Rattus norvegicus: one gene and its partners. The protein of the gene in region 5 interacts with the protein of the main gene of each other region in a biochemical or structural test. Links are inferred from orthologs where the notes say so. Each region holds a gene or a part of one and is shown on either strand. Other genes may lie near its edges.

Region 1 (6,599 bases), on a different chromosome or scaffold from region 5:
AGGCAGCACATTAGCCTCATGCTTGGGACTATTTTCAATAGAGATGTCACCAACAACGAGTGGCCCTAAATAGACCAAGACCATCTATGCCGCGAGACAAGAAGAGGGTCACTGTCCTGGTTATCTTGTCAACTTGACAAACAAGCAGTCATCTAAAACCTCGAGTGAGGGATTGTCTGGGTCAGATTAGCCTGCATCCAAGTCTACTAGAGATGCTCTTGATTGATGATTTATGTGGGAAGGCCCAGCCCGCCATGGGCAGCACAATCCCTAGGCAAGTGGTCCTAGGCTGTATATGAGAACTGGATAAGCACAAGTCTGAAAGTGAGCAGCAAGCAGCATTGTTATGTGGTTTTGTTCCAGGTTCCTGCTTAAGTTCCACCCTGACTCCTCTCGATGACAAACTGTGACCCGAAAGTGTACGCCAAATAAACCTTTTCCTCCCACAAGTTGCTTTTGGTCAGAGGGTTTTCTCACAGAGACAGAATGGAATCATTTAGTGCATGTCCACAAATGACAGAGTGCCATACCTGACGAGGGTTACAAATACATTTTAGTGAAGTGTGTGTGCCTGTGTGCACGCATGTATGTGTGTGCATGCATGCATGTGTACATGTGCATTGACGTGATGTGACGTGATGTGTGCGTGTGCATGTGTGTATGTGTTTGTGTGGGCATGCATATGTGCACGCGCACAGCAGGGGTCAACCTTAGCTGTCCTGTTTTCTGAGACAGGCTCTGTTACTGACATAGGGCTTTCCAAACAGGCGAGGCTGGCCAGGCAGTCCCAGGGATCCATGCATTCCTACCTCGGCTGAGAGGTGTGAACCAACATGGCTGCTACTACTGTTGTTGTTCTGTAAGTGTGCATGGGATTGAACTCAGGTTCTTGTGCTTGCAAGGCAACACACTGACTGGACCATTCCCCCCAGGATCAAGAAACAGTGAATCCTTAAATAAGGAATCCATGAACAAATGTTCAGTGGCTTTAAGCAATGTCCACCCTTCTCCCCACAGGTCTTTGAAAAGACCCAGAATGCTGCCTTGGCAGGTTTGAAAAAACCAGTTATTTGTAAGCTAAGATTATCTTCACCTATACGCAACTATATTTATTAAGAGTTATTTCCCACACTTCCTAGCTAAACATGAACTGGAGGAGAAGAGGCAGCCCGTGTCGTGTTTCCTTTCTCTGACTAGCCTCGGCCCATTTGGAGACCAAAGCATGACCTCTGCAGATGAGGCTGCCCTCCCCTTCCAGCTACCCCATCCCATTCCCTGTGGGGCACTGACAGCAGTTCTTAGTCATTTAAGATGGCTGGTTCTCCCATCGAGGGGCCACAAGAGCCCTAGGTGCACTGTGGTCTGTGATTGGGGGAAACAGCTCTCTGGGAAAATACCAGCCAAAGGTAACATCTGCCCACTTTGGGCCACACAGGGAAAACAAAATCAGGAAGATGCAAATGCAGGTTTCTCTCACTTGAAACCACATGGCCACTCCAATGCAAAACAGCCCCACTCAAGTGTACCTGGGAAATTTCCTTGCAGCCATAAGTTGAGTAATTAAATGCTAGAACCTCATTTAAAAGAAAAACTTCCTCTGGGGATGGGGGGGGGGGGGGCGCTATGCTAATTTTCATAAAAAAAGAGGAATGAGGCCAGCCTGGAGGGAGAGTCAGTCTCACTAGGCCAGTCAGGCTGGTTGGTGACAGGCCGCCCCACGGCACAGAGATCTGCAGTTAACTGCCTGCAACTGCTCTTCCTGGAGCTGTGAGCATTCACAGGGCTTCTACTTGGAGATCTCACTATGAAGAAAACGCATGGGCCCAAACGTGGGGCCTAAGCAGGGAAGAATGGAACCCAGAGGGCCCTGGGTCTGAACCACAGAGGGCAGCTGCCTCAGCTTCTTGTCAGATATTGGCTTGTCCTCTGGGAGGCTATCTTACAGGAGCTCTGTCCCCCAGACTTCCTGTACGCTGACTGGATGTCACACTGCACAGACACCTAGCTTCCCAAGGAGGGGCCACACTATTATCTGAGGAGCACCTCCATGTTTCATCCTGGCAGCAGCTCGGGAGGTAACAGGAGATGTCTCAGAATGCATATGCCTGTACCTCAGAGACAGGAATCACAGGCAGGGCTGACCAGCTTGATGCCCACCGTCATTCAGAAATAGAGGGCCAATAAAATGCACAAGAGCCTGTCCTGACCCTTTAAAACCAGACTGGTGTGAGGCAGCTTCAGAGTAGAGAATCCCCACATCAGAAAAGGCTGACTTCCTCTCGGCTGACCGCTGGACATCCTCAGATCTTGAAGGCAAGCCTCTAAGCTGGTCTCTATGCCTACCTGGATGACATTAGCACAAGTCACAGAGGACGCCTGTAGTCCACAGAAGATTAACTGTTTACTTACGAACAGGCAACCAGCTCACCTAAGCACATTTTCTTTTTGTACATGCTCATGTATGAGTGGGTATTCATGTGTATGGAGGTCAGAGATCAATCTCGGATGCCGTTTTTCAGATGCCATCCACTTTGGCTTTTGAGATGAGACCTCCCACTGGCTTGGAACTAGCCAAGGAGGCCAGGCCACCTAGCTAGCAAGCCCCAGGTATCTGCCTCTTCCGCACTTCCCCAGCACTGGAATTACACCCACCTCTCTGCACATCCAGCTTTCTAAAATCCCCAGTGTTGGGTAAAGAACTCAGTTCTTTGTGTTTGCTTGACAAGACAAAGCCATCTCCTAGCCCCTGTTTATATAACTGTTAAATCTTAAACACCGACCCACTGGACAGACCTGCTGAATGGATACTGCAAGCTAGTCAGCAAGCAACTGCACCAGAGAGAGCATGAATGCACTGCTTCCCTGACAACATGTAGAGAAAAGAAAGTTTTGGAATTCAGGTGCCATGATCTAGCCAGGACTCCACGGACCCTGGTTCTCACTGGTACTTATGTGACTGGCTGACTTTACCTGCAGATGACTCTGGAACAAAGGAAGAAAGTACTTACAGGTCCAAGCTTCTGCCTGCTCAGGTGATGGCATATATATACATATATATATACATATATATATGTATATATATGTATATATACACACATATATATGTATGTATGTCACACAGAGAGACATATACACATATATGTACATACCACACTCACATACACATACACCACACATAAAGGTATATACACAGATATACATACAACACACATATATACCACATACACATACACATAAAGGTATATACATATATACACATATACATATACCACACACTCAGACATATCATACATGCAGGTATAAACACATATATGTACATATTACACACATATACACCATACATAAAGGTATATACACATATATGCATTCAACACACACATACATATAAAGGAATATACATATATACATATACCACACACAAACACATAAAAGTGTATACACATACACATATGTACAATACACACACACCACACATACATACACACACATACATATGTATACAATCACATATACCATACATACAGGTATATACTCATATATGCATACAATACACACATACACCATACATACAGGTATATACATATACACACATACACTCACACATAAAATAGCAACAACTGACCAAGCACCAGACATTTCATGATAAGAATTGTCTTTTAGTTTTCCTTGCCATTATCTTGAGACAAAGTATCCAGGATAGGTGAACAGCTAAGTTACAGTATTCTTCTGGTTCCCCCCTCAAGCCCCATCCCAGGGAATCCCAGCTGGGTGGCTGGGGTTGAGGCCACAGTGGATACTGTGACCGGCAGACTCCGTTTCAGTAGGCCGTGGGGGCCTGGCTGAAGCTGCTGGCGATTAGGCACTATTTTACTTCCCCATCCGCCCACCTCACAAGAACAACACGCACAGGGCCCTCAAGGCCTCTAGGAAAGCCAAACGACCCAAATTCGACACAAAGGGCATGCCACACCTGCTCAAGGTAACCTGGGTTTCTCTGAAATTCAGGCCCGTAAAATATTCCGGGAAATTAGAGTGGAATTACTCCCGAGACTTCACAGCTGTATCTAGAGACGCAAATTAACCCCGGTGTTTAAAGATAGGGCCAACGGTTATGTACTTGGGGGAAGAAAGATGGCTCTGCCTCGTGAGAACTGCAGTAATTGTCAACTCCTCCACAGCAAACAAGTCGGCCAGGGCATGGTGTAGCCCAGGCACAGTATCAGCCGGGGAAGCCGATATCGAACTCAGATATCGGCGTGCTCGCTAAGGCCCGCCCATGGTGCAGGGAGCCATGAGGTCACCATTATGGATTGCCCAAATCTGACTTACCTTCCTGTCCTGGAGTCGCAGATGGCCTGGGCTCCCGGGCACCAGGCAGCATGGAGCGTGGAAAGGACCAAACTGGCAGGCTTAAAAATGGGGGTGGCCACAGAGACGGAGGGAAGGAGAGGAGAGCAAGTGGAGGCTCCCTGATGCTAAGTGGTGTCTGCAACTAGGGAAGTGGCTTTTCCTCAAAGTGTCAGCAAGCAAGACCAGCCAGAAAGCAGAAGTGAGAGGGTATGTGTGTGTCGGGGAGGAGGGGAGAGGGCGGTGCTCGGTAATTTCATAGTCAAAATGAAGTTACAGTTGGAAGGCAGGGATTCCCAAACACATTCCAGCCGAAGGAGGATCAGTAGACATGGTCGTTCTCAACCAGGATGGGCACACCGACTCTCACATGTTCCCTACGCATCCTGGCTAAAACTGTGTGCCATACCAATTTTTGTCCTCGTCAACTTACTGTACACCTTGTTTGACGATTTACTAACTCAGCTGATAATTTTAAAGACTCAAAATGGGGTTTGCTCATTTTGGTTTATAGTTTCCTATTTTTAGCTTCAGAGTTTTTTTTTTTCATGTTACTTCCTTTTGCCATTGAGGCCTAGGCTTAATGTACTATAATTCTTTGTAATCCTTATAAAACTTATTTTGCTATAATTAGAGCATCCTCGCCTCAAATTATAGGTGACTGAGTTGACACACTCCCTTTGAATGATACATCGTCAGGGTTTGGGTGCTCCAATCGCAGGCTCGAGTGCTAGAAGCTTGGCCAAGGTGTGGCATATTCAAGGGGCAGAACCTTTGAGAGGTGGGGTCTGGTATGAGGGAGTGAGTTCACTGAGGCATCTGCCTTGGGAAAGATTAATGGCTATCTCAGAGGTCTAAGTTACGTCTTGGTGGACTGGGTTAGTTACTTTGACAATGAATTGTTATCTTCAACCAATTTGGTCACGTCCAAAGCCATTGTCAATCTCAGCCTTCCTCCATTTGGTGCCATCTGCCAGGATGGCATGTAATGTAAGGGGCTCACCTGATGTGACAGCCTGAACTTGGGCTTTTAAGCCCTAAATTGCTAAGCCAAATTAAACTCCCTTTCTTTATAACGTACTTAACCTCGGGGATTTTGTTATAGCAATGGACCTAGTGCTGGGGATTTCCCTGTAAGCACTACTTTTAGCATCATTTGAAAAAAATGTTTGTCAACCGTATTTTCATTTTTTAATATATATATCATATATATTATTTTATGCATATGAGTATTTTGCCTACATCTATGTATGCAAATCATGCATGTGTTTAGTACCCATGGATGTCAGAAGAGGACATCAGATACCTTGAGAATGGGGTTACAGACAGTGGTGAGGTGTCAGTGGGGTGCTGGGAGTTGAACATGAGTCCTCTGTAAGATCCACCAAGTGTAACTGCAGAACTAATCCTCCAGAGCCTTGGATTTTCACTTGCATGCTAGCTAAAATGTTTTAAGAGTTCTTTCGAGACTTCTATCAACTCGCGGGTTATATAAAAACCCATTTTTCATTTTCCAGATAATTTTTTCTTACAATACATTTAGTATAATTTTTTGTCTTCTAAAAACAATTTATGTGGCGTTTTAAATGTGAAATTAATGGGTTTCCAAAGCGTGCATTTTATTTTGGTAAATATTCCTTGAGCACTTGAGAGGAATGCCTTCTTTGGTTGATAGAGTCAAAAATCTCACAAATGTCAGCTTGGTTGACAGTGTTGCTCTGGTCTCTTCATTGATTTTCTATTTGATCTATCAGTTATAGAAAGAGAGAAACTGAAAAATCCAGACCATAATATTGGCTTTGTCTCTTTCATCTTTGTCTTCCATTTCTGTCAGGGTTTACCTTATGCATTTTGATGCCCTGCTGATCTGTGCACACTTTTCACATTGCTACATCTCCTTAGATGTCTGGCCCTTTTGTTATTATGTAACTGTTTCCTTTAAGCCCTGGCCCCTCTCCAATGTAGAGGTTTTTGTCCCATAAGTGACCCAGAAAGTGAGGAGGGTTCTGAAATGCAGAATCCATTGGGGAATTCGCCGCTGGAGTATAGCTCTAACCCTGTGCTCTGCCTTGGACTTAAATGTCCTACGCAGGATGTAGGTGCTTTGCAAACTTATTGTTTGCACCCTCCCTGGCCTCTTTCTCAGATCTTTATGATAATAACCCAGTGAGCTGGGTGTATTAACTACAGCTTTTTGCTGTCTCAGCTTCTGATGTTTCGGGGTGCTATCCATCCCAGCGCTGACCAACCTC
Region 2 (5,901 bases), on a different chromosome or scaffold from region 5:
GAAATGCCCATTTGTGAAGGGCAAAACTGATTCTCAGGTTAAACCCTTAGGTTTATGGGCCTAACTGGTGCTCCCTGAAAATAACCCACTCCTACCATGCACTCTTAACATAGAGATAAAAGGAGAAAATAAATGAAGTATATTCCCAACACAAACTCCAAGTGCAACAAGGGGTTGGGGATGATGTGTGAGCAAAGAGAGAGAATGCTGAGAATCAGTGGAGGCAAGCCCTCAGTGAAGATGGCTTCCCTACGTCCACCCAGACGGGTTTAAGGTATTAAGGAGGGCAAAGGTACAAGCAGCCACATGGAGTGAGCTCCTCAGTCCCAGGTCCCCAGGCCAGCCACAGTTTCAAAAAGGTACTGGATGTGCTTGTATAACTAGAGGATATGTATAGCTGCCTAAGTGGCCATTATGTCAGTGTTCAGGGGCTTAGAAGGTCTCCTATGAGAACCTGTAGTGAGCACTATTTTCAACATGGATGCTGGGTAATGCCCGGTATGTATGCTGCCAGGAATGGAGGAGGACAGACAGCCCAGCAAAGGGCAGAGAACCAAGACCACGCCCTCTGCCCATGGCTTACAGACAGCTGACAATAAGCAGCAGGTGGATACTGGCCCACTAGCAAGTAATATGCCAGAAGAGTGGGAGACGTGACGGCTGATGAGCAGGAGAGTCTGGAGGTGTCCATCTGACTACACTCACCCTTGTTCTGTACTTTCTGCACCAACTCACACACCCACGGTAAACAGGACAGAGCAGACGGATAGGGTCATGTTTCCCAGTTGAGTACTCTGGTAATCTAATTTGCAGTTCTTGCTATAACAGCAATGTCCGTGGAAGCAAGACCAACAGACACTTCTTTAGCCTTGAATAAAACGGCGCCTGCTACATCCCTCACTTGCTCTCTCCTGTTCCCCAGATTTGCAGGGTGAACTGAAACGTGATAACCCCCAGGACCTGCCAGGTCAAGGCCTGTTTCATGATGCAGCACAACTGAGAGCAGCCCAATGGAGGCCACAGGCCATTCCAGAGAGGGAGGGCTGCACTTTTATGATGTATGCATGATGCTCGCTTATTTTCCAGTGCAGTTTCCAACTGTGTCCACACTGCCCTGCCCCACCACATTCACTTTATCTATTTATGTGATTTCCTTTTTGCTGTTCTGAGATGAACCTGTAAACGTGAGAACTCAGGGGTCTGAGGTACTTCACATAAACACACTCAAGTATCAGTCTTTCACTGTTTGAGAACGAGAACACAGGAAAACAAGTCCCTTTCCCTCTCCCCTCAGAATGTGCATTTCCCCACTAGGCTGACAATGGCTACCTCTGCACCACATCACTAATTTCCTGTACACATGACAATAAGTTATTAAGGACAGGGTTTGTCCCAGGCACACCAGCAGCTGTGGAAGACACCTGCAGCTCCTGTAAGCTAAGTTCCAGTTTGCTCACAGCCTCTCGGAAGGCAAATTTGTTGCGAGTGTGGGGGATGCAGTCCACATACCCTGAGCAGTAGTGGAGTAGCTGGTGCCCAGTGTCCACCAGCTGGCTATGGGGCACAGGTTCTGTGATTGCACTGGACAGTAGGCCGGCACACTCCAGCAGGGCCGCTTTGCTGATTTTGTCAGCTGAGATTTTCTCAGCTGCCTGTTTGGTTTTCCTCAGGGCCACCTTAGTACCTGCTGTGCCATTGGCCATTTTGGCTGGCGAGATGGAAGATGTGGGCAAAGGCACTTGAGGTGGAGGCATCACTGGCCTCCCAGGTTTCCCACTACTGGGCACTGGCCCTGGAGCTGCCTTTTTTCCTCCGTCCTGGGTGTCTGGAGTGTGCTGTCCTGCAGGGGGGGCAGTTGGCTCTTCCTCGGGGTCTGAGCATGTGGACGGATGCTGCAGTAGTCTCATCACTGGTGGCGGGGGTGGGGCACACTTTGGTTTTACCCGTCGGGGTCGGTCCTTGTCTCCAGAGGATGTGACCTGATGCTCAGATAAGAGCTTGAATTTGTTCCCCTGAGAGTCTGTGCCAATGAGCTGCACATCAGCTGCAGTGTGTTTCAGAGTGGGTGAGATAAGGACTGGCACTTTGTGGTTGTGAGTGGTTGGGAGGACAGCTACAGCCTTGGCTGGAGAAGACCAGCCTGGCTGCTCTGCGTCCTCTGGGACTCCAGCGACTCCAAGCCGCGTCCCACCATTCCTCTCCTTGCCTTTGGGGGCAGCTGCCACTCCAGCCACCCCTACCCCTGGACAGTCACTCTCAGTGATGGCTGGATCAGGGGCTCTCAGGGCAAGAGCCGTGGCTCCTCTGGGCAATAGTTTGGCTTTTGGTCTCTCCCTGGCTGGAGCAGCACCTTCCTCTGATTTTTTTGGAAGCATGTCATTAGCCCTGTCCACATTCTCTTCTGGTTGAGAAGAGGTGGACACTGTCCTTTCCAGCTGGAGTTTGGACCTCTGGCAGTTCCTGGGAAGGGTCATTGCCATCCTATCCTGCTCGGGGAGCCCTGAGGACATGGAAGATGTAGAGTTTGACCTTGGAAAAGGCTTGGAAGTGTCATCACTGGCTGTCGGTTTACCTGCTCGCAAGCCCAGTGTCTTTTTGATTAAGCGAGGTGTAAAGAAGCCTGTGATACCAGACCACCCACCCGCAGCAGTGCCACTACCCCCACCCCCACCACTGTCATCATCACCACAGAGGTTCCTCTGTGCAAAGCTCCCCCCATAGCACTTGGCTGGCACCAGATTCGACTCTTGCTGGCCGGGAGTGAAAGAGAACCCATCAGCATGCTGCAGAGAAGCAACAGGTGAGAAGTTACCCGTGAGTTCATATTTCTTGTGGGGCTGATTCTCCATTTCTCGAAAAGAGCTGCTGCGCTTAGGGGGCATGGGGGCATTTCTTTTTTTCATGAAGGAGCTGAAGAAGCCTCCCTTCCTGTCCCTGGTGAAGCATGTCTCTTTGGCATCTTCTAAGAGGCTGCTGGGTGACTTATCTCTTTGCTTTCGAGGCAGAGCTGGGGACCCACTGGAGGCCTGGGTGCTTCTAATGAACCCTGCTGAGAAATGGCCAATTAGTAACAGAAAAGCCAGTTAGTGTGACTACCTTAGAAAGTTCCGTCTGCATTTCTTGAATGTCAGATGTTGGCACTACTCAGGAAGTTCACAAATAAGTCACTGACTCAGTGACTAGTGTTCCAGCCGTGATTTGTACATTAGTGCCTCAGTAGTACCTGCTGGTCTCTTCTGTATTTGTCCCTTCTATAGAAGATAGGTGTACACCATCACCCATCTGGGTAGCTACCTAGGAGCCAGGAACTAAACAAACAGATCTGGTAGCAGACTGCATAGGACTGGATAAAACTGCCCACACTGGCAATGCAGACCCAAGGCCAAGTAGCATTGTGGTCCTTTGTTCTTCAAGGGTTACCCTTTCTGCTCTGCCCCCTCCTACCTGGTGCTGAGCTGGAGGCCAGGATCTCGGAGGCATCAAGGCCCCCATCTAGGTTCTCTTTGTTCTCCCCCTGCTTCTTCAGGGTCCTTGTCTTGGAAGGAAGTAGTGGCAGTCGAGGCAGGTATGGAACTACAGATGAGGAGGAGGCAGTTCTCCCAAGCTCCTCAGCTACCTCTGTGAAAAAGACAAAGTCTGGTAAAAAGAAAAGAATTCTAAGACAGAGACCAAGGCATATAATTGAAAAAAGAAAAGCAGAGAGCTGAATACTGAAGTTCGTAAAAGCAGATGGGTGTACAGGCTGCGCTATAGTCCCAGCTGCTCAGAAGGCTGAGGCTGGGGGATCTCTTCAGCACAGAAATAGGAGACCAGCCTTAGCAAAATGTCATCTTGAAAATTACAACAAAATTATACAAAGCATAGAAATGAAATGAGCGTATGAAGTCTTATGTGTGACCTCACCCATGGAGGGAGAGGCTGATGCCGGGCCTCTTCCCCAACAGCTCTTCACCTTACCCTTTAGAAAAGGGTCCCTCGCCAGCCTGGAGCTCAGCTTCAGCAGAGAGCTCCTACTTCCAGCTCCCACACACAGGTATGTGCTGCCACGCCTGGCTTCACACTTGGTGGCTGGGGATCTGAATTCAAACACTTCACTAACTATAATAATAACTATTATTCCTGCAGGTTTACTTTTCATTGCATGTGGCAGGATCCCTTTCTCGTTGCCATGAAATATTCTGATGTGTGAGACTACCAAAATTCATTTGTCCTCCTCTCGGTGTTTACATAGGATGTTCCCAGTTTGAGCTATTATAAATATGATACTTGTTCTGTGACTCAGGGACTTCTGTGCACATCTAGTTGATATAAATGGATAGGTCATGGGGTGCACACTGATCTTCACCAGGCTCTGACCAATGTAACAGCCATAACAAGTGGCGCCCACAGGACCGGTGTGTAAATGTTACTTACTTGGATTGTCAAAGTTGGAGGCTGTTACTCTATAGTGCACCTAACTTTACTTTTGCTCATTCATGGGAGTGAATGCAGGCATGTCGTGGCAATCTCATGGTTTGATCTGTACTTCCTGCTGGCAAGTGATGTCCCTCATGGCTTACGTGCTCACTGAGCATTTGGATAACTCAGGTGCTAAATAAAAGGGACTCGGGTCTGTAGAGATTTCTATTTTGGGGAAGCAGTATTTACTAAAAAGGAGAGTAAGATAAATTTATTCCATTTCATTCAAGTAAAAAAAAAAAAATCAGTGTTCTCCCCCCTCACCCCACACACATACACCAACTAACCAACGACAACAGGAGAAACAGAAGCCTGACTATTGACTGGGACGTCCCTCAGGGCTGGAGTGCTTACCTAACTCTCATGAGGCCTCAGGTTCATGCTCAAGAACCAAAATTAAAACAAAACTCTAAACTCAACAAAACAAAAACCAAACAAACAAAACCTAATTATAAAAGCAACACTCGGGGTTGGGGATTTAGCTCAGTGGTAGAGTGCTTGCCTAGGAAGCGCAAGGCCCTGAGTTCGGTCCCCAGCTCCGAAAAAAAGAACAAAAAAAAAAAAAAAAAAAAAAAAAAGCAACACTCATTCAATTGGTTCCCCTTGGCTGATCTAACTAAGTCATGAATTTTGTGGCTTTTTTTTTTTTTTTTTGGTTCTTTTTTTCGGAGCTGGGGACCGAACCCAGGGCCTTGCACTTCCTAGGTAAGCGCTCTACCACTGAGCTAAATCCCCAACCCCGAATTTTGTGGCTTTTACTGAGGCAAAAATATACTTTCTACTCTTTCTTCCCAAACAAGTGAAATAGTCAATTAAATTGTACAAATTTGTTACCACTTGATGAATTTTAATTACATTTATGTGTCTATGTGTATGTATTCATTTATGTAATGTGTATGTCTGTGTGTAGGGGACAACTTGAGGGAAGAAGGATGGATATATTTTTATAGAAATATCAATATTGTACTTCCATTTCCCCCTTCTTCTTATCTTGTGATAAATCACTAGAGGAAAACAAAATTCAACTCTCTTGATTTCTTCTAACATTTAAAACTTGAAATTGAACGATCAATTCTACTTAGTTATGAAGGGAAGGAAAAATCTGTTAAAAAAAACCTTCAGAACTGTATCACAGCATCTAATAGGCAGATGAAACTAAGAATTCTATATTCTTCGCTCTCCAAGATCAGAGTCTCACTCCTTACCGTAAAAAGGCAGATAACTAGCTTTATTAGTCTCATAATATACCTCAGGATAGCCTTGAACCTGGGCTCTTCCTGACTCACTGAGTGCTGAGAAAACTGGGGTGCCTCTACAACCTGTTTGACTTCTGCAGGTATCTCTAGAACACTACATACAAAATCAAGCAGCTTCCTGTGTGTGCCCATAGACTTCCTGTGTGTGCCCATACTCTTCCTGCGTGTGCCCACACTCTTCCTGTGT
Region 3 (6,611 bases), on a different chromosome or scaffold from region 5:
TCCTTCCTCGTCAAATCCATCCTTCCTCACCCCCACAGTTTCCATGGGAACATGGCTGGTATTTTATTCTGAAGTTACTGGAGCATCAGTCATTTTTCTTGGTTAAAATGGTTTGGAGGTTTTTCACCTGTCACAGTGGTTTCATTCAAACAGAAAAATTTCAGGAAGTGTAGTCTCCTTTGAGCCTCATGGAGATACTCCCACCACTAAGAAGGCATTCTGGGAAAGTAACATATTCAGACCCGGAACAAGAGATAGAAGTTGGTGTTCTTGTAGCCTTGGGTTTTGATTACCCCAAGTATTTGGGAAGATCTTACATTTAGTTTTTAAGTTCCAAAGTGCAAGTTTGTTTTCCGGTCCTTGGGTTCTAAAATGCTGGTGTTTTGACGACATGGGGTTAGTAAATCTCAGCTCTCTAACTGCCTCACATCCTCCAGACAAACAACCCTGTGAACTGAAAAGGTTTCTACTCTCAGCTGCTTGCTGCCCCTTGCTGGCTGAGCAGTGGCCCCTCCTGGGAAAACGGAGTTATTCCGGCCGGCTCTGGGGCCACTTCCCCTCCACTCTGAAAAGCTGAGCAGTGCTTTTCCTAGAGTCAGAAACTTTCCTGGGGTTCTGCTGCTTGTTTGGCACAGGGAGATTGGTATGTGGTATTTGCTGGAAGGCTACCAAGAGGTCTGGACGCTAAAGGTTTAGAATAAAAAACCATGTCAGTACTATAGAGATATCGTAACAATTGCACCCATCTCACAGAGTTTGATTCTTAGTCCTGGGAACGTTAAAGTAATATATAAATGATTCTTAAGACGATTTAAGTGAACACCTTGCCCACTTCCCTTCCCACCCATGTGTGAAAGGTGTACTCTGGATTTCACCTTTCTTTAGATCATGGCAGCCAGAGAACACAGAGAAAGCTGTAGACAGCAATGGGTCTGTTAGTGTTAACTCCAGGAAGTCAAAAGGAAGGAGCCAAATCACCCTGAAAGTGGGATAGCTGTAGAGTATTGATCGTTGGTGTGAGCTGTTTCTCAACCACAACTCTATACCACTGTAAATGAGCAGGCTAAGTTGGCCACAAGTGTGTGTGTTGATGACAGTGTCTCTACACGGAGACCAATGTGAATCACTTCTTGGTGCGGACTACTCTGGCCTCTGACTCCTCCTCAGAGTTCTCTACCTGGATACAGGAAAACTAGAATTCACTAGCAGTTCTCAGAAAGTCTAATAGGGGTGTGTGTGTGTGTGTGTGTGGCATTAATGAACTAAAGATCTGGACTACACAGTTCATTGTTCTACGGTCCCAACTCACTCCCTCACTCGAGGATCTGACCCTACCGACACACCTTAGACTCGTTACTGTCGATGGTGAATTATGGCTCATTAGTTCTTTTGGAAATTAAGTTGTAGAAAGAGATATCTGTGCTTAGGAAGAAGCTAGAGTGAGTATTTAAAATGGAGATGGGAAATCCAATAGTCATGCTATTAGGCACAGGAAGGCAGACACGTGCTCAAGTGGCTGATGGTACATCAGTGCAAACTGTTCATGCTTGAAGTTCACAGAACCCTTCCTCAGTACCTCAAACTCCGTTCCACCCCAGACTGCACCTTCGCCCTTAGTGCCAGAGAGAAACTTCCCTAAAACAGAGAGAAATGAACTCTGAACCCTTCTGGGAAATAGCAATTGTTCCTCCCCCTCCCTGGGATTCCAGGTCTCCAGAGCAATCATTGTGGAGCAGGTGCTACAGTTACAAACTTTTCTCCATCTTCCACCCTTCACTTCCCCTACCACGCACTTTTCAAGGCTTGGATCAGCTCAGCAGCCTGCCAGGGACTGCTAGCACCAGCGTCCCTTCCAGGGCTCTCCAGACTGCTCCGTTCGGTCTGGCGGCGGCTGTGGCAGTGTCAGCGCAGCTTCCAGCGACCCCTGTCGGGAGTTCCCGGCAGCCGCTGGGCTCGGCCGCCCCCAGCTTGGCCGGGCTGCCAGAAGAAAGGGGCTGAGCCGCGATCGCCCAGCTCAGGCTCCTCCCGGTGGCGTGTCTGCGCCTCGGGGTGGGGGTGTGGTGGGGAAGAGGGAGGGGGCGAGGCGAGGGGAGGGTGCGAAGGAGGCGCCTGCGTCCAACCTGCGGGCAATTGAAAAAGAGCCGGCTAGGACTTCCCCAAAACTTGTGGGAACTCCGGACCGCGCGGGCAGCAGGAGCCGAGCGCAGCGCAGCGGCCGCAGCTGCCGGGAGATGCGAGCGCAGACCGGATTGTGATCACCTTTCCCTCTTCGGGCTGTAAGAGAGCGAGACAAGCCACCGAAGCGAGGCCACTCCAGAGCCGGCAGCGGAGGGACCCGGGACACTAGAGCAGCTCCGAGCCACTCCAGACTGAGCGGACGCTCCAGGTGATCGAGTCCACGCTGCTTCCTGCAGGCGACAGGCGACGCCTCCCGAGCAGCCCGGCCACTGGCTCTTCCCCTCCTGGGACAAACTTTTCTGCAAGCCCTTGGACCAAACTTGTCGCGCGTCACCGTCACCCAACCGGGTCCGCGTAGAGCGCTCATCTTCGGCGAGATGTCTGAGCGCAAAGAAGGCAGAGGCAAGGGGAAGGGCAAGAAGAAGGACCGGGGATCCCGCGGGAAGCCCGGGCCCGCCGAGGGCGACCCGAGCCCAGGTGAGTGCCAGCCGCTCCGCTGCTCCCAGGCGGGCACCTACTCTGGTCCCGTGCGTCCCTGCTCAGCTCTCTTGGCGCCTGACCCGGTCCCCGAGCTGCGGTGCGGGGGCTGCCTCCACCTGGTGCCCGTGCGCTTCCCGCACCCCGAGCCTGCTGGTCATCCCTCCGGGGCCCTTGGGGTCGGCTGTGCGCCGCGCTCCCGGGCTCTGCCCTCGGTCCCCGCGTCAATCGCGGAGCCCAGCCCGGGAGTGGGGCTCCGATTGCGGGATCCCTACGGGCTGCGCGTGCCCTGCGGCCCGAGGACTTTGAGCGGGCCGGGTCTGCCCTCTAGCGAGAGAAGCGGGAACCGGCTCTGGGTTCGAGAGCCTGCGCCCCTCCGCCTGGGCCCGGGCTGCGCGGAGGGTGGTCGGGGAAAGGGTGGTGTGGGCGCCCGGGCGTCCGCGAGGTGGGCGGAGGGAAGCGGTTGGACAGCCGCTGTGCGAGCCTAGGATCGCTCTGATTGCGTGCGGCGATAGAGAAAGCCAGAGCGGCTGAGAGGGATTCCTAAAGGTCAGCGAAGCACGCAGAACCTGACCCGGTGCCAAGATTCAGGTCCGCTCTGAATAAATTTGGCTTCAGCTGTTGAAGTTTTCAGGGTTGCCCTGATAAAAGATGGCTAGTTTAGTTTCCCAAGAGACGTCAGAAAGGAACAATTTACCCCAGGTTTTGAACCCCATTGCTTACCGATTATATATGGAATGAAAAAGGGGTGGGGGGAGTTAAGGTTTTTTTGTTACCAGATCTTTTTAATCCACCGTCGGAGCGCAATCTAAAGGCCACTGCCACCCTAGATATCTCAAGGGAAGGCTATTACATTGACTTGGTCAGAAGAGGTATAAAAGGTCGCCTGTGACCAAAACTTGTCAGAGTTATTAAATAGATGCTTAAGGGGTGGCGCCTGAGAGGGTCTTTACCGTCCCTCTGCAGTCCCCTACAGTGGATCTGGATGCCTTGTGACTCTTAGAGCATCCCCAACACACATTGTGAAGTACTTCAGGGAAATTAACAACACTTGTGCAGTCTGTGCCTAAAGGAGATAAGCAGAAATATCTGCTCCGTGCAGGAAGAAAACAAACCACATTTTCTTAGTGCGCTCCTTGGATTCGCTCAGCATTTCAGAACCTGGGTTGTTGGCAGGGACCCTAAGTAAGGTTTAGAACAAAACAGAAACCGAACAGAGAGTAATTGTTTAGCCACTGGCCCGCTTAAAAGGCGCTGCTGATCTGTTTCACCTTAATTACCCCGCGTGAGCCTTCCTGAAGGTAGACGGATGTTTTCCCAATATTTACTGTATATTTTGGAGATTAACTGCAACATTGTACTCAACAAAGTACGGAACAACAGGGATCTGGGTTAATGTCATCATAGTATGTTAAAGAGACCCAGAATCGTAAAGGTATAAAGAACTTTCTGTTTCACTTGTCACCACTTGTGGCTTTTATCAATGGTTTGCATGGGCTGGTTAGACCGGTGGTTCTCAACCTGTGGGTCGCAACCCTAGGGGGGTGCGAGCCAAAGGACCCTTTCTTTCTGAGGGAGATTCATAACAGTAGCAAAATTACAGTTACTACGTGGCAACGAAATAATTTTATGGTTTGAGGAACTGAATTAAAGGGTTCAAGCGTTAGGAAGGCCTGAGAGCTTAGTTGCTCTCCTGAATTGAGATGGGGTGGTGGCTTGACTAGGTAGCGACTCTTTCAGTAGCAAGCTTTATCTCTCAACTAGGGCGCTAAGTCCACAACATACCTCAGATGTTTTAGTGAAGGCAGTGGTTCAGGTGGGGAGAGGTTAGACGTCTCAGGGCTGTCTGCAGCCTTGACTCACCTGGTGGGCATCCGTCTCAGGGCTACCTAATGTTCTTAGGGAAGTCTAGAGTTTCTTCTCTGGCTCCCTTGTGTATCTGTAGCCCCACAGCTGTGACTCTAAACCAGACTCCATGATATATTCTTCCCCGTTTCCCAGAAACAAATTGGGATGATGTCTGTGGGCTAGATTTTAGTTTGTTTCCTATCATGATATGATTGGGGGTAGAAGGGGTGAATGGAGAGACACTTTGCTCCCTCCAGAGAACTTTTTTTAACCCCCTTTAGGATTCTGTCAATAGATCAAACCAGATTAAGAGCATTTATTCTTTTGGTTTGCAAACGGTCACCTTGAAATTTGCGTTACGTAGAAATTCAGGGCATTAGATTGTCTTGCTTTGGATATCACTGTTTCTGCCTTTGCCTTGTCACGCTTCCTTCTAATGGTAAGTCCCAGTCTGATTTTCCCTATTGAAGAAGATGAGTAGCTGTGATTTGTGGGGTAAATCCACGCTTGTTCTGGTTCTGGATCTTCCCTCTGGCCCATGAGTCCGAGGAACCGTCAATAGCCTTCACATTTGCCAGGTAGTCAAATTTAGGATTTGCAAGGACAACCATCTCTTGAATTGTTCCTGGGTGTCACCCTTTCCTTAAAGCAACCAATGGAGTGCTACGTGTGTCCTTGGCAATGCAATGCTGAGCTTTTCACGCCAGTTTTTACCACAGCGAAGATGACTGAGGGTGCTTAGCCCTGCTCTGTACTTTATCAGACGCATAGGCATGTGGGTGGGAACTCTTCAGGAGAAAAACACCCTGTAAACTGCTACATTGACAGATGTAGTGGATGATTGTACAGACCTGGCTGTGTTTCCTATCTGCATTATGAGGTAATTAGCCAACACTGGACTGCACACTGTTGTGGCCGCTGATGTCCAATAGGATGATCTACTCTGTGATGGTAGATGTCACAGGTCCCATGTCTTTGAGGTCACAGATCTTCTTTGTTCAGAATAAACAACCTAAGGAAAATCCTGGGTTTTGTGTCACAGACCCATGTATCAAGGGTCCCATAATGTCCTGAGCCTCCTGCAAGCTGGCACTCCCAGATCCTGCCTCTGACTAATTCACTCAGCTTCGCATGTTCCTTTAGAAGCCCGAATTACAAAACTGGTTTTTCTTTTATCCTATCAGTTTGCCAGTTGACTCGAGACCTTCCTTAAGACTGCTGACGTTTTCCATATGCTGTGCAGTATGCTTTTGGTCATTGTTTTGACTCTTAAGTGACCTGTAACAAACCTGTTATTGTACCTGTCTCAGATCTAGAACTGTGGGCTGTTTTTTCATGCCTGCTGGAAGGGGTATTTGTGAGTGGAAAACTTCAGAAACTTAGTATCCCTAATAGACGCAGGCTGTGCACGCCTCGAATGATATCATCCACCTGTTTCCTTAACTAAATGGCTCCAAAGGCTGAAGTGCCTTGTAAACGTTCTTGGAAATAAAGTGCCCCGTCACTAACAGGGCAGTCTGTTTACAGAAGGAGAAGGAATGTCCAGTGATCTGTTTCAACCTGGTCACTTGTAACTGTTTACATTATGTAATCATTAAAAACATTAAAGCTTATTTATAGAACAAAGTGGGACTTGTTATTGCGAACTAAAAAAAACAGGAAGAGTGAGGAAAGGAAGCTTGGCTACTGCCTTAATATATACAGAATGATAATGGTACTAATGAGGATGAGGAGAACATATATATGCTTATGTATATATGTGCATGTGTATATGTGCTTATACAACAATGTGTCTATGTATAGATGCACATGTGTATATGTGCTTATATATGCACCTGTCTATGTAGATATATCAGCCAGTCTTGGGCCATCAGATGAACAGTAAATATATTTCCAGTATCCCCAGTCCTTTTCTATTCAGAACAGTGAAGATTATTGTATATTACTTAATGGAGATCCTGTTAATGTTCCAGGCAGTGTATTTCATGCATTGTACGTTATATCATTTTTAAAACAGAAGATACAAAAGTGTCCTAATGTTAGGTAGAACTAAGTCCTAGTCCTTAGTTCTCTAAACAGACTGCTTGGAAGTAAATTTGAGCATGGCC
Region 4 (5,901 bases), on a different chromosome or scaffold from region 5:
CACACACAGAAACACACCTGCACAGACACACACACACACAGAAACACAGCTGCACACATACACACACAGACACACACACACACAAACACACCTGCACAGACACACACACACACACAGAAACACACCTGCACAGACACACACACACACACACAGAAACACAGCTGCACAGACACACACACACACACACAAACACACCTGCACAGACACACACACACACACACACACACAGGAACACAGCTGCATGCATACACACAGACACACACACACACACACACACACACAGACACATGCCCAGAGACTCACACACACACACACACACACACACACACACACACAGGAACACAGCTGCACGCATACACACAGAGACACACACACAGAAAAACACCTGCAGAGACACACACACAGAAACACACATGCACAGAGACACACACACACACATGTACAGAGACTCACACACAGAAACACACATGCACAGAGACACACACAGAAACACACATGCACAGAGACACACACAGAAACACACATGCACAGAGACACACAGAGACACATGCACAGAGACACACACACACAGAAACTTTTTTTTAAAGACAAGGTCTTTAATCACAGCACTAAGGAGGCAGATCTCTTGTGAGTTCAAGGCCAGCCTGGTCTACAAAGCAGAGCTCCAGGACAGCTGGGGCTGTTACACAAAGAAACCCTGTCTGGGGGGAGGGGATGGGGGCGATAGGGGATAAAACCCCAAAAACCAGAGAAATCCGTACTTGTATTGCTGAGAACTCATAATCCTCCTGTCTCAGCCACCCAAATGCTGGGACTGTAGGCTTATTCCACTATACCTAGCAATGAGTACTGAGAAGAGAAACCCAAGGGTCAGAGAAGTTAAGTAACTTGCCCAAGGGTCACACAGCTGGTAATAAGCAAGTGGCCTCTGTCAAAGACCCCTTACTTGTTGTCCTACACCAACCAAAGCAAAGCCACCTCCTTTTAGGACCTTTCCCGCTAACCTCTCAGCCAACCACCTCTTACCCAGCCACAGAGCCTAAATAGCAACAGGGGAGGTGCTAGGCCCACACTGACCCCAGTGGAAGCTGTGAAGAAGGTGGCTGAGAAGGAAATCAGAGCGGCAAGTCTGCACCCTGCTCTAACTGCCCAGGCTCCCCTGCTACCAGCTGGTGACCAGGCCAGCGCAGAGTCGGTCTCTGTATCTGTATCTGGCAGCAGGGAGTAGATGGCTGAGGCTACTTCAAGCCAGGCCCACCCTCAGGCCTGGAGCAGTGGGGGAGTCCAGAAGCAGGGGTCAGGGGAGGCTTTCGGTGAGTCCCTATACAGGTTGCCACTAGCAACCAACCGTGCTGACTCAGCATTGTTCTCCTGTCTGTTAGTTTAATTGTGCCCGTGTGGGTGTTTTGCCTGCATGTGTGTTTGTACACCGTGTGTGTACAGTGCACACAGCGCCCTTGTAGGCCCTTGTGTTGAATCCCCTGGGACTGAAGTTACGGAAGAGTATGAGTCACTTTGTAGGTGCTGGGAATCAAACCAGGTCCTCGGGAAGAGCGAGTGGCTCAGAGCTCCTAACCTCTTAGCCATCTCTGTAGCCCCCAGCTGCTGGTTTCTTACACTAACTCACCTGCAATGCACAATGATGGGCCCCGCGTGAGGCAAACTTTCCTGCCGCTGGTTGATCTGATCCAGGAAGCTGAGGACACCTCCAGGCTCACTGGGAACCCCATGGTCAGGCCAGCTCAGGTACTGGTAGTGCCATATCTCCCGAACCAGGTCCCCCTAGGCCAAGGACAAAGAGGCAATGCCTGGTGCTCCCACACGACATCCTCATCCTTGTCCTCCCCGCCCCCCCAGACTAGAAAATAAATCAAGGAAAGGCTCCTGAATGGGCGAGCTTGGGGACACTCACATTGTCCAGTGGGGAGATCTGCAATGTTCGAAGTTTGTACTCTGCTGTGTCATGCTCTTTACAGTTGGTCACAGAGTAGAGCCCATAGACGCGCTGAGTGCCCACCTCAGGCCAGTATGGGACACATTTGTTCTGAAAGGAGAGAGGGAAAGGATAAAGCACAGAGGCAGGGCCCTGGGGCTCCTTCTGGGCCCCAAGACATAGACCTGAATATTGGTTTTGAATGTATATATAGATATATATGTGGGGGGGTGTACATGTGTGTACAGATACATATATGGGGGATGAATGGTGTACATGTATGTACAAATACATACATGGAAGGATGGTGTGCATGTGTGTACAGATACATACACAGGAGATAGTGTGCACATGGAGATATAAGGGGACTGCCTTATATAAGGGTGTCTAGGAGTCACAGTGTATAGTGAAGACCATCTCAGGCCTTAGTTTCCCAAAATGCACTGGGCCTTTGTCACTGATGTCCTATTCTATATTGGCATCCGGTCTTGCCCTTAAAAAAGAATTACATTATATGACTGCCAACGTCATCCTCCATCTCTCTTGCACCGTATTCATTGAGGTAGTGTGTGTCACTCAAACCCAGAGCTCACCAATATAGCAAATCTTGCGAGCCAGTGCACTCTGGGAGTCTTCTGTATCCTCCTTCCAAAGCTGGAATCGTAGGTATCCGCCCTCTGCCCACCCAGAATGTACAAGGGTTTCTGAGGACCCGGGCTCTCATTCTCATGCTTTCATGGCAAATACTTAACCACTGAGCCTCCTCCCCACCCCCACCCTGTGGATGCTAAAAGAGTACATGAGCCAGCTCAGAACCAGACCTGGGACCTGGCCTCAGGCTAACCACCGCTAGGCGGGATCTGATCAACCCACCTTACCTTATAATCCATTCAGTGACCACTGAAACTGTACTAAGCTATGTGTGGTTCAAACCCAAGTAAGAGGCAGAGAGGATGGGGGGATGGGGAGGATGTATGAAGAATGTGTGCCCTGGGACACATTAAAGAGAGGGGCTGAGGATGAAACCCAGGGTTCCTACTGGGCAAGTGCTTTACCACTGGACTATATCATCACAGCCGAACATATGGTGCTCAGGAGGGCAGGGTGTCTAGGAGTCACAGTGTATAGTGAAGACCATCTCAGGCCTTAGTTTCCCAAAATGCACTGGGCCTTTGTCACTGATGTCCTATTCTATATTGGCATCCGGTCTTGCCCTTAAAAAAGAATTACATTTTATTGTGTGTATGTATGTGTGTGTATGTATTGTGTGTATATGTGTATATGTGTGTGTGTGTGTGTATGTATGTGTATTATGTATGTGTGAATGTGTGTTTATGTGTAGGTATGTATGTGTATGTATGTATGTATGTATGCATGTGTATGTGTGAATGTGTGTGTTTATGTGTAGGTATGTATGTGTATGTATGTACATATGTATGTGTGTGAATGTGTGTGTTTATGTGTAGGTATGTATGTGTATGTATGTACATATGTATGTGTGTGAATGTGTGTGTTTATGTGTAGGTATGTATGTGTATGTATGTACGTACGTATGTATGTGTATGTGTGTGTATGTATGTGACTGTAGACATATGGGTACTTGTATGCTATGTGCTGTGGTATGCACTTGACAGTCAGAGGATAACTTGCAGAAGTAAAGTTCTCGTCTACCATGTGGGTCCCAAGGATTGCACTCATGATGTCGGGCTTGTTGGCAAGCACGTTTAACTGTTGGAGCCATCTCACAAGCCCCTGATCTTGCTTGTGTCTGGACCGAGTGAGCAAAGACCGAGGAGGAAAATTTAAGGGTCAGGAAGGTGGAGTTTTGCCTTACCCGGCCTTTCTCCACCTCTCTGGTAGTCATGACGATGACACGAGTGTTCTCCTGCCAAGCCATCTGCCAGAAGTCATTGACGGTAGCGTCCAGACAGCCCTGACTGGCGATGTAGGTCTTAGAGTTCTCATCCGGACCTAGCAGCTGGTTCTGGGTGCAAGCACAGAGAGATCCCACCACAGACTGTGAGTCTCTGGGCAGTGGGCGTGCCTGTTCCACCCGCCATCACCCCCACATAAGATCAGATCCAACCTCACAGGCATCTGTAGCCATAGACCCCCAAGCCCCAGGGAGCTCTCAGAGACCAACATGTGTTCCCACAGAGGTCACCCAAGTCACCTTAACGTAGTTGGCATTGATGTAATCAGACCCTGGGATGTTACTGTCACGTCCCTGCAGGATCACTCGGCTGTGGTCAACTGGCATGGATAGAGAATGAACAGCTTGGGCCACTCCCTGGGTGAAGACCCTTCCCAAGCCAACAGCTGTCCTTGTCTCCAGGGCCACAGACTCATAGATAGGACAGCAGGGAGGGATAAATGGGAGTAGAGGCTTTGGGAGCAAGGCGTGGCAAGGAGGGAGTTACTGCCTGGTAGTTGTGGGGAGGCTCTTAGGAAGTGAAGAGGCTGCCTTGGGGAGAGAGCCCTGCTGGATGGTGGGGATGGAATGGGGCAGGGGGCAGTGAGAGACAGGCCTACTGGTGCTCACAGGGAAGAATGTTCTTGTAGCGGTTCTTGCTCTTGTTCTCCGGCCGCTGCCCTTCCAGACGCTGGTGCAAGTTCTTTACCTCTTGCTTTTGCAGACTCTGAAATATGAGAGAACTGAGTCCCCCGCCCCCGGGTGCATCCACAGGTGCAGAGGCCATAGTCAGAGCCGTGTCAGAGGCAGGTAAAGAGGGCAATCTATGCCAGCCCTGCTGTCCCCAGACACACCTCAAACTCCTCCCAGAAGCCGGCCTTGGCTGTGTCCTCTGACTCCTGCTTCTTGTTCAGTTCCAAGACCCGGTTCTCAATGTCTGCTGCATTTACCCGAGTGGCATAGTAAGGCTGGGGGTAAGGGAGGGCAAGAAATCAGTGGCTGAGAGACCTCAGAAAGCCACGTCTCTGATGGCTCAGACAAAGAGGCAAGCAGGTTGGCTCCTCACCTGCCTCAGGTAGACAAAGGCACCTGAGGCCTCCTCAATCCCCGTCTTCTTGAAGTGCTCCACCAGGTCTGTGAGGCTGTCGAATGTCTCTGAGCCACCCACAGTGTATCGTCCACCCTGAAGGACACCAAATAGGGTCACCCCTCAGGGCTGAGTCCCCCTCCTGGCACCCCCAGTCTTAAATCCAACCCACTGATGCTCCAGCATGAGGCCTTCCCCACAGCCCAGCTAACTCACCTCACACATAACCTTGATGTGCGTGACCCTGAGCGGGGAACCCGGGCCAGCCTTGGGCTGGTCATTGAGCACAGAGAGCACAAAATCACCAGGTTGGCTGAGACTCTCACGCACAAGAAATGTCCAGGGCTCGCCCTTGGCCTGCAGCAGTGACTCTGCCTGCCCTCCAGACATGTGACCATGATACCACCTGGAGAAAGTACATTGCAAAGATGGTGACCAGGCCCCAGAGCGAGCGCAGACACCTGCTATCTGCCAGGGTTGAATTACAAGCTTTCAAATCCACCACTACACAGATCCGTTACTAACTCAGAAAATGCTGAGAGGAAAAGCCAGACTTTGTGCTGTAATCCCGATTTGGAGCTGGAATTCCAGCCCCTCAGGACACATGAGGATAGTGGTAAATTTAAGGCCAGCATGATCTACACAAACATACCTTTAAAGCTCACCAAATAGCTGAGAATGACGGTTCATTTTTTTTATAATCCAGCATTCAGTGGACTAAGCAGAAGAACTGTCTTAACGAGGCCAGCCTGCTCTACATGTTAAGTTTCAGGCCAGCCTGAGCTACACAGTAAGACCCTACCTCAGACACAAAACAAACAGCCAGTCCTGGTGATATATACCTGTAATTACAGCTCTGGGTTGGCAGAAGCAAGAGGATCGCTGTAAGTTTGGGGCTAGCCTGGTCTACATGGTGAATTCCAAGCCAGCCTGAGCTACAAGCTGTCTCCAAAAGAAAGCTAACTTCCC
Region 5 (5,901 bases):
TTGTTCATATGTTTTATAATTTCCATACCCTTCAAAGTGGGTCATAAAGAGAGATTACTACTCATAAGGATGTTAGTAATAATATTAATGTTAATCTTCATGGGAAAATATCTAAACATCACTGATAGTCTAAAAAAGAATTAAAATGGATATAGGCTTAATTAAAAGTAAGTTAGCAGAGCAGGTTGGGAATCAGAAGAGTGGAATCCACATTGAAGCAAAGATTAAAATGTTTACCTTTTTTAATTTGATCATTTGTTTACATCAAATATTCCTACTTTTCTTTCCACTCCTATACTCCAGACACATATGTTTTATAAATGTGTTTTTTTGGAAGCCTAGACCGTTAATTTTAATAGAATTAAAGAAGTCTCTGGGGTTTCTGACTTAATTTAAGTGAGATTAACAGGCAGCCATCTCTCTTGTATAATCTGGGGTTTTCTAGTTTTGATTTACACAGGGTTAAAGGAAGACAGGAAGTGGTGAAGGTGAATAGGCATTTTATTAATAAGAGACTCAGAGACTCTAGGCCCAGGTCTTCTCATATTTATATTCATGACATGTGTGATCTATTCTGACAGGAAGGGAAGAAATAAAAAATGTTCCTTGCAGTGCAGGTCAGCATGCCCTTTTCTCTAAGCATAGTTCTATTTACTCAATATTTAGTTAGGGAGAAACAAATATCTCGCAGTGAAGTTAACCTTTTTTGGCTCTAGTAGCTTTGCCATTAGCATCTTGGCATTAACAAGCATTTTTTTAAATGAATACCCATAAGATGCAAGTGTTTGGGCTTGCGAGAGGAGACACAAAGGATGTATAAGATGATACCCAGAGGATTTCCAAAACAAGAATAAGAATGAACTCCCTAGAAATAGAAAAAGAGCTCCATAGCTGCGTTAGATCAGTCCTGGTTTACCCAGTTACCTGGAAGAGACCTTAAAAACATCCCTACGTTATATGATAATTTGATCCCATCACCAGCATCAGATGTGACTAGAATACCCCAGTGTGATGAGGGGAAGGCAGGCAGACATTTGGCCTTATTAGATAAACCATAGACATGGCTTCACCTTTGTTTTTCTCGCTTCCCCTGGAGAGTTTATGCTTTAGAAAGGGATCACTTGGCAATGACATCAAAGCGAGCTTGGCGCTGTTATTCTTGTCATCTCATCAGCTAAACAGAGCGTAGGCCGTTAAGATCCATTTAATCTGAACTCCCAGATAAAGAAGGCTACCTACCTTGAACACTAGTATTTTTATTCTGGGAAAGCTAATTCTAAGATAAGTGAAATGAGTATTGTTGAACACACATTACAGATCATGTTGCATTTTCCTTCCAACCAGGAACAAACCGGCAAAAAGCAGTTGCTTTCAGTTTCCCCCCTTTCAGTCTTTTGTACCACAGTGATAAGATGGCAAGCAAACACTTTCGTCCATGTACTCTTAATTTCTATCTTAACTTCCATGTGTTCTTTGTCTACCTCTGTAGCCATCAAAGAATGCTTTATTGTTTTATTATCTTAATACTCTGAAGCAAGAAAAATAAAAATCGGAGGTTTTAAAATTTCCTAGAGTTATCCTAAAATCTATTTTTCTAAGCCAAAGATTGAGTTTGAATCACAATGAAAATTTGGGATCCTGTAGACAAGGGTCAGCGGTCAGGAGCTTGTGATGCTCTTGCAGAGGACATTTGTCTGGGTTTCAGTGCCCAAGTCAGGCAGCTCTCAACCACCTGTAACTCAAAGCTCAGGTGAGCCGATGCTCTTTTCTGGCTTCTGTAGGCACCTGCCCCTGTACACATACCCACACAAAAAACATAATTAAATGATTTTTTTAAATTGTTAATTTATAGTATCTTGTATTCCATGACCAATGTCAATTAACCGAGTTACAATCTGGTTTGCTTCCTTCGCTAGTTTTGTTTTGCAGAATATTACTAAAACTATACACACATAGTTGCCCCATAATTACCCAAACTTTAACCTCACTTTCTCCAAGCATAGATGCACTAATAGTTTATTGCGTCTTAATCTCCAGGTTGGATGATCGATGCTGACAGCAGACCTAAATTCAAAGAACTGGCTGCTGAGTTTTCAAGGATGGCTAGAGACCCTCAAAGATACCTAGTAATTCAGGTTAGTTGTTTTGATGCTGCTTTTAAAACTCTAATAACAAACTCTATCTAAACTTTACAATGTTGAAAACATCCGATAATAGAATGACCATGTGAAAAACTTGTGGATTCGTGGATCTGACTATGGTTCTATGTATGCCTAGGAGAAAATTCAGGCTCAGAAAGGTAAATGCTACCTATTCTCTCTCATCTGTAAAACTTACCCGTCTACATATACACATACACATGGTATAGGCCACAAAACTAGAAAGAGATCATTAGAAAGGAAAAAGAAGTTTTAAGGGAAAGGTAAATTAAGAAAGAAGCTAATAGAATACCTATGACATTTGAGTAGCCAGGGGAGAGGAGTACCAGAAGGTCATAAACCAAAACAATATATGTATGAATATTTTATCATAATGCTATAACAAACCCATTTCTTCATATATTAATTTTAAAAGTCCATGTGGATTGTTTTATTGGGCGAGGGGTATCGTCTCCAAGCAATAACTCAATTCAGATGAATTGATGCCTACCTAAACCATAGAACAAAGCAATAGGTATTTTGCATTCAACATCAGGAACCCTATGGATTGGCTCATTTAATTAATATAATAATGTCTCAGTGCTTAGTTTCATCTAAAGCAGAAGCAGTTGTACCTTGAAGGGTCTTAATTCTTCCTCACTGAGAAGAGCATTTACCTTTCAGTAGACTAAACATGAAGAACAAAGCCAGACGTTAGAAGACAATCATGTCACAAACTGACACTCTTTACCAGTATAACAAATTTTGAAAAAGTGAAAGTATTTAAGGCATGATAAATGGAACAAACCTTAGCAGAGGTCGTATATGTTTTCACACCCACATATGCTCTATATGTCACTGTACTATGATTTTTAAATGCCATCACTTTGACAATGATGCCATTATACTACAAGGTCGACCATGGATGTCTGTGTCCTGACTAAGCAGAATAGTGCAAACGTATTAATTTAAAACTGATATGTTGATGGTCTCTTATTGTCGATTCTTTTTTTTAAATTTTTCCCATGATTTTACATAGCTTTATTGCACACTTATTTTTATGGATATTTTATGTATTTACATTTCAAATGTTATCCCCTGCTTCTATGAAGATCTTCCCACTCCCATCCACCCATTCCCATCTAACCACCCTGGCATTCCCCTACACTGGGGCATCGAACCTTCACAGGACCAAGGGCTTCTCCTCTTATTGATGGCAGACAATGCCACTCTCTGCTACCTACGCGGCTAGAGCCACGGGTCCTTCCATGTGTACTCTGGTTGGTGGTTTAGTCCCTGGGAGCTCTGGGGGGTCTGGTTGGTTGATGCTCTTCCTATGGGGATGCAAACCCCTCCAGCTCCTGTTGATTATTAATCCTTACCCCTCCTCGACAGTGAACTGTTATTTTCAGATCTGAAGTGGAACTTCCCACACTTAAAATGTGCACAGCACCTGGCTGTGTTCTTTTTCTTGCTGTTCTTAAAATCATCGCATTCTTCTACTCCATTTCTGTGTCATCCCTTTTACTATCTAACCATAGTACAGGATTCTTTTTGGATGGTAGTTACGTTAAGACTGTTGTTTTAAATAAGCACATGAGTGCTCTAGCCGTTTGCCTTTCTAGCGTATAAAATGACTAGTGAAACCATGAGTTGTGGAGGAAGGAATAATGGTTGTGGTTATCTCTTGGGCAATCTTTCAGGGGGATGATCGCATGAAGCTTCCCAGTCCAAACGACAGCAAATTCTTCCAGAATCTCTTGGATGAAGAGGATTTGGAAGATATGATGGACGCTGAGGAATATTTGGTCCCCCAGGCTTTCAATATCCCACCTCCTATCTACACATCCAGAACAAGAATTGACTCCAATAGGGTAAGAATAATCATACACAAGTACCATGATACTTCTGAGAGACAAATTGGTATGCACTGATGGTGAGGCATAAAAGTTTCCATAGAAATATACAGGGTTAGTCATGATTCCAGTTTCTGCCTGGCTAAAGAGTGAGATCTTGTCTCAGCAACTAAACAAAAGAAAAACAATTTAAAATAAGAAGAAAGAAGAGAGGGAGGTAGGAGGGAAGGACCGCACTTCCAGACCACGGTTTACTTTTCTTTGTACTGAAAAAGAAAATATGTAATTGCGAATCAACCTGAAATATTTTATGGTCCCAATAGGAGCAGATAACATAAAGCTTTAAAATTCTAATTCATAAGCCAGGTGGTGGTGGTGCACACCTTGAATTCTACCACTCGAGTGACAGAGGTGGGAGGACCTCTGAATTCTAGGTCATTGTGCACTACAGACTGAGTTCTAGTACACCCAAGGCTACACAGAGAAAAAAGAAAAACAACAATGACAACAACAACAAAAACCTCTTTAGAAAAAATAATTCCTAGGTAGATTGTGAAGATCAATCTTTGTGGGAAGTATGACAGTCTGGGGTATGACTGGGGTCTTCCCTGCTCTCTCTATATAGCAAAAATGACCAAACATCACTAGATAAAAGATAATTCATCACTTTTTGGGTCAATAATTGATTTTCAAGGAAAGTTCTATTTCTTAAAGTGAAATTCCATCGAGATATGGTTTTATTTTTCTATTTTATAAGGATTCTCAAATTCTTAGGTTTTGTTCATTTTAATTTGTAGTGCTTAATGCAAGGAATTCTTAATAACATTTTGATCTAACTAAACAGAACTAGACAAAGCAGGAATCTCATGGGAAGTCCTTGACCTTTAGTCTTCTTCTCTTGTTCTGCATTTTGATTTGCTACCTACAAACTTTTTTTTTTAGTTGTCAGTGTCTGGAAAGTGAATTGTACTTAATACCACTTATTTTGGGAGCATAATGACTGTGTCTGTGCATGCACACACACACACACACACAAACACATACAACACACACACACACACACACACACACACACACCAGGTTGTACCTGTGGAAATTCAAGGATACGCTCAGCTGGTATTTCCACCATCCATCTTATTTCAAACACGCTCTTTCATCCATTGTTGTGTGTGCGAATCTTGCTGGCCTGTGATTCTCCTCTCTCCAACTCACCTCTCTCCTTAGGAGCACTAAGATTATAAACTCATGCCGGTGGGTCTGGCTTTACCTCTGTTCTGTGATCCCAACTTGTGCTTTCACAGTAAATACTCTGCCTACTGAGCCATCTTTCCGGCCCACAAAAGATCATGATCATTTATATTGCCCTAATTTAAATATCTGGTTTCATAGAACTCTTATTTCAACTTATAACATGTTACAAATATTATTTCCCTGTTTGTCTACAGTGTTGCTACATTATTTCATAATTACTTCAACTTTAGTTTCTGTGGTCAAGTTATGTAATAAGGAACAATGTTTAAAGTGAATAAGGATAGAAAGCTTAACATACTTGATAAATCTTTACTAGGAAGTAAATACTCGGTTTTTAAATGCAAAATGCACACACAAACGTGCATGTATGTGTGTGTGCGTGTGTGTGTGTGTGTGTGTGTCTGTGTGTGTGTGTGTGTGACTAATGTTCTGGTTCTTTCTATATCATTATTTTCTCATTTTTAAATTAATACAACTGTACCTATCTATATGAGTGACAGACAATTACGAATCACATTTTCTCTAGTGAATAAGCATTAATAAACATTAATCTCTTTAGAATGAGACAATATTTATGTTTACTTTTTATTTATCATAACATAATTACAGATACATTCTCATTCGGCTTGCTACTAATGACAAGTCTGTTGATGTGT

Evidence for each region.
Region 1: the proteins of Erbb4 (region 5) and Syk form a complex in vitro, tested with the Homo sapiens proteins (2 studies listed by BioGRID and IntAct, with this or other methods). The link is inferred for Rattus norvegicus from reciprocal best matches to the Homo sapiens genes ERBB4 and SYK.
Region 2: the proteins of Erbb4 (region 5) and Abl2 form a complex in vitro, tested with the Homo sapiens proteins (2 studies listed by BioGRID and IntAct, with this or other methods). The link is inferred for Rattus norvegicus from reciprocal best matches to the Homo sapiens genes ERBB4 and ABL2.
Region 3: the proteins of Erbb4 (region 5) and Nrg1 form a complex in vitro, tested with the Homo sapiens proteins (2 studies listed by BioGRID and IntAct, with this or other methods). The link is inferred for Rattus norvegicus from reciprocal best matches to the Homo sapiens genes ERBB4 and NRG1.
Region 4: the proteins of Erbb4 (region 5) and Ptpn6 form a complex in vitro, tested with the Homo sapiens proteins (2 studies listed by BioGRID, with this or other methods). The link is inferred for Rattus norvegicus from reciprocal best matches to the Homo sapiens genes ERBB4 and PTPN6.

The regions. Positions count from the first base shown.
Region 1 is NC_086035.1:12,808,823-12,815,421, forward strand, and holds the start of Syk (tyrosine-protein kinase SYK), read right to left. Parts: upstream 4,452-6,599; 5' UTR 4,330-4,451; intron 1-4,329. UniProt on the Homo sapiens protein: Non-receptor tyrosine kinase which mediates signal transduction downstream of a variety of transmembrane receptors including classical immunoreceptors like the B-cell receptor (BCR).
Region 2 is NC_086031.1:71,309,334-71,315,234, reverse strand, and holds part of Abl2 (tyrosine-protein kinase ABL2), read right to left. Parts: intron 3,619-5,901; coding exon 3,445-3,618; intron 3,050-3,444; coding exon 1,326-3,049; 3' UTR 1-1,325. UniProt on the Homo sapiens protein: Non-receptor tyrosine-protein kinase that plays an ABL1-overlapping role in key processes linked to cell growth and survival such as cytoskeleton remodeling in response to extracellular stimuli, cell motility and adhesion and receptor endocytosis.
Region 3 is NC_086034.1:66,810,484-66,817,094, forward strand, and holds the start of Nrg1 (pro-neuregulin-1, membrane-bound isoform), read left to right. Parts: upstream 1-2,158; 5' UTR 2,159-2,555; coding exon 2,556-2,655; intron 2,656-6,611. UniProt on the Homo sapiens protein: Direct ligand for ERBB3 and ERBB4 tyrosine kinase receptors. Concomitantly recruits ERBB1 and ERBB2 coreceptors, resulting in ligand-stimulated tyrosine phosphorylation and activation of the ERBB receptors.
Region 4 is NC_086022.1:159,215,378-159,221,278, forward strand, and holds part of Ptpn6 (tyrosine-protein phosphatase non-receptor type 6), read right to left. Parts: intron 5,339-5,901; coding exon 5,149-5,338; intron 5,029-5,148; coding exon 4,912-5,028; intron 4,814-4,911; coding exon 4,700-4,813; intron 4,573-4,699; coding exon 4,476-4,572; intron 4,187-4,475; coding exon 4,107-4,186; intron 3,918-4,106; coding exon 3,768-3,917; intron 2,045-3,767; coding exon 1,913-2,044; intron 1,783-1,912; coding exon 1,628-1,782; intron 1-1,627. UniProt on the Homo sapiens protein: Tyrosine phosphatase enzyme that plays important roles in controlling immune signaling pathways and fundamental physiological processes such as hematopoiesis.
Region 5 is NC_086027.1:77,009,010-77,014,910, reverse strand, and holds part of Erbb4 (receptor tyrosine-protein kinase erbB-4 precursor), read left to right. Parts: intron 1-2,037; coding exon 2,038-2,135; intron 2,136-3,841; coding exon 3,842-4,012; intron 4,013-5,901. UniProt on the Homo sapiens protein: Tyrosine-protein kinase that plays an essential role as cell surface receptor for neuregulins and EGF family members and regulates development of the heart, the central nervous system and the mammary gland, gene transcription, cell proliferation, differentiation, migration and apoptosis.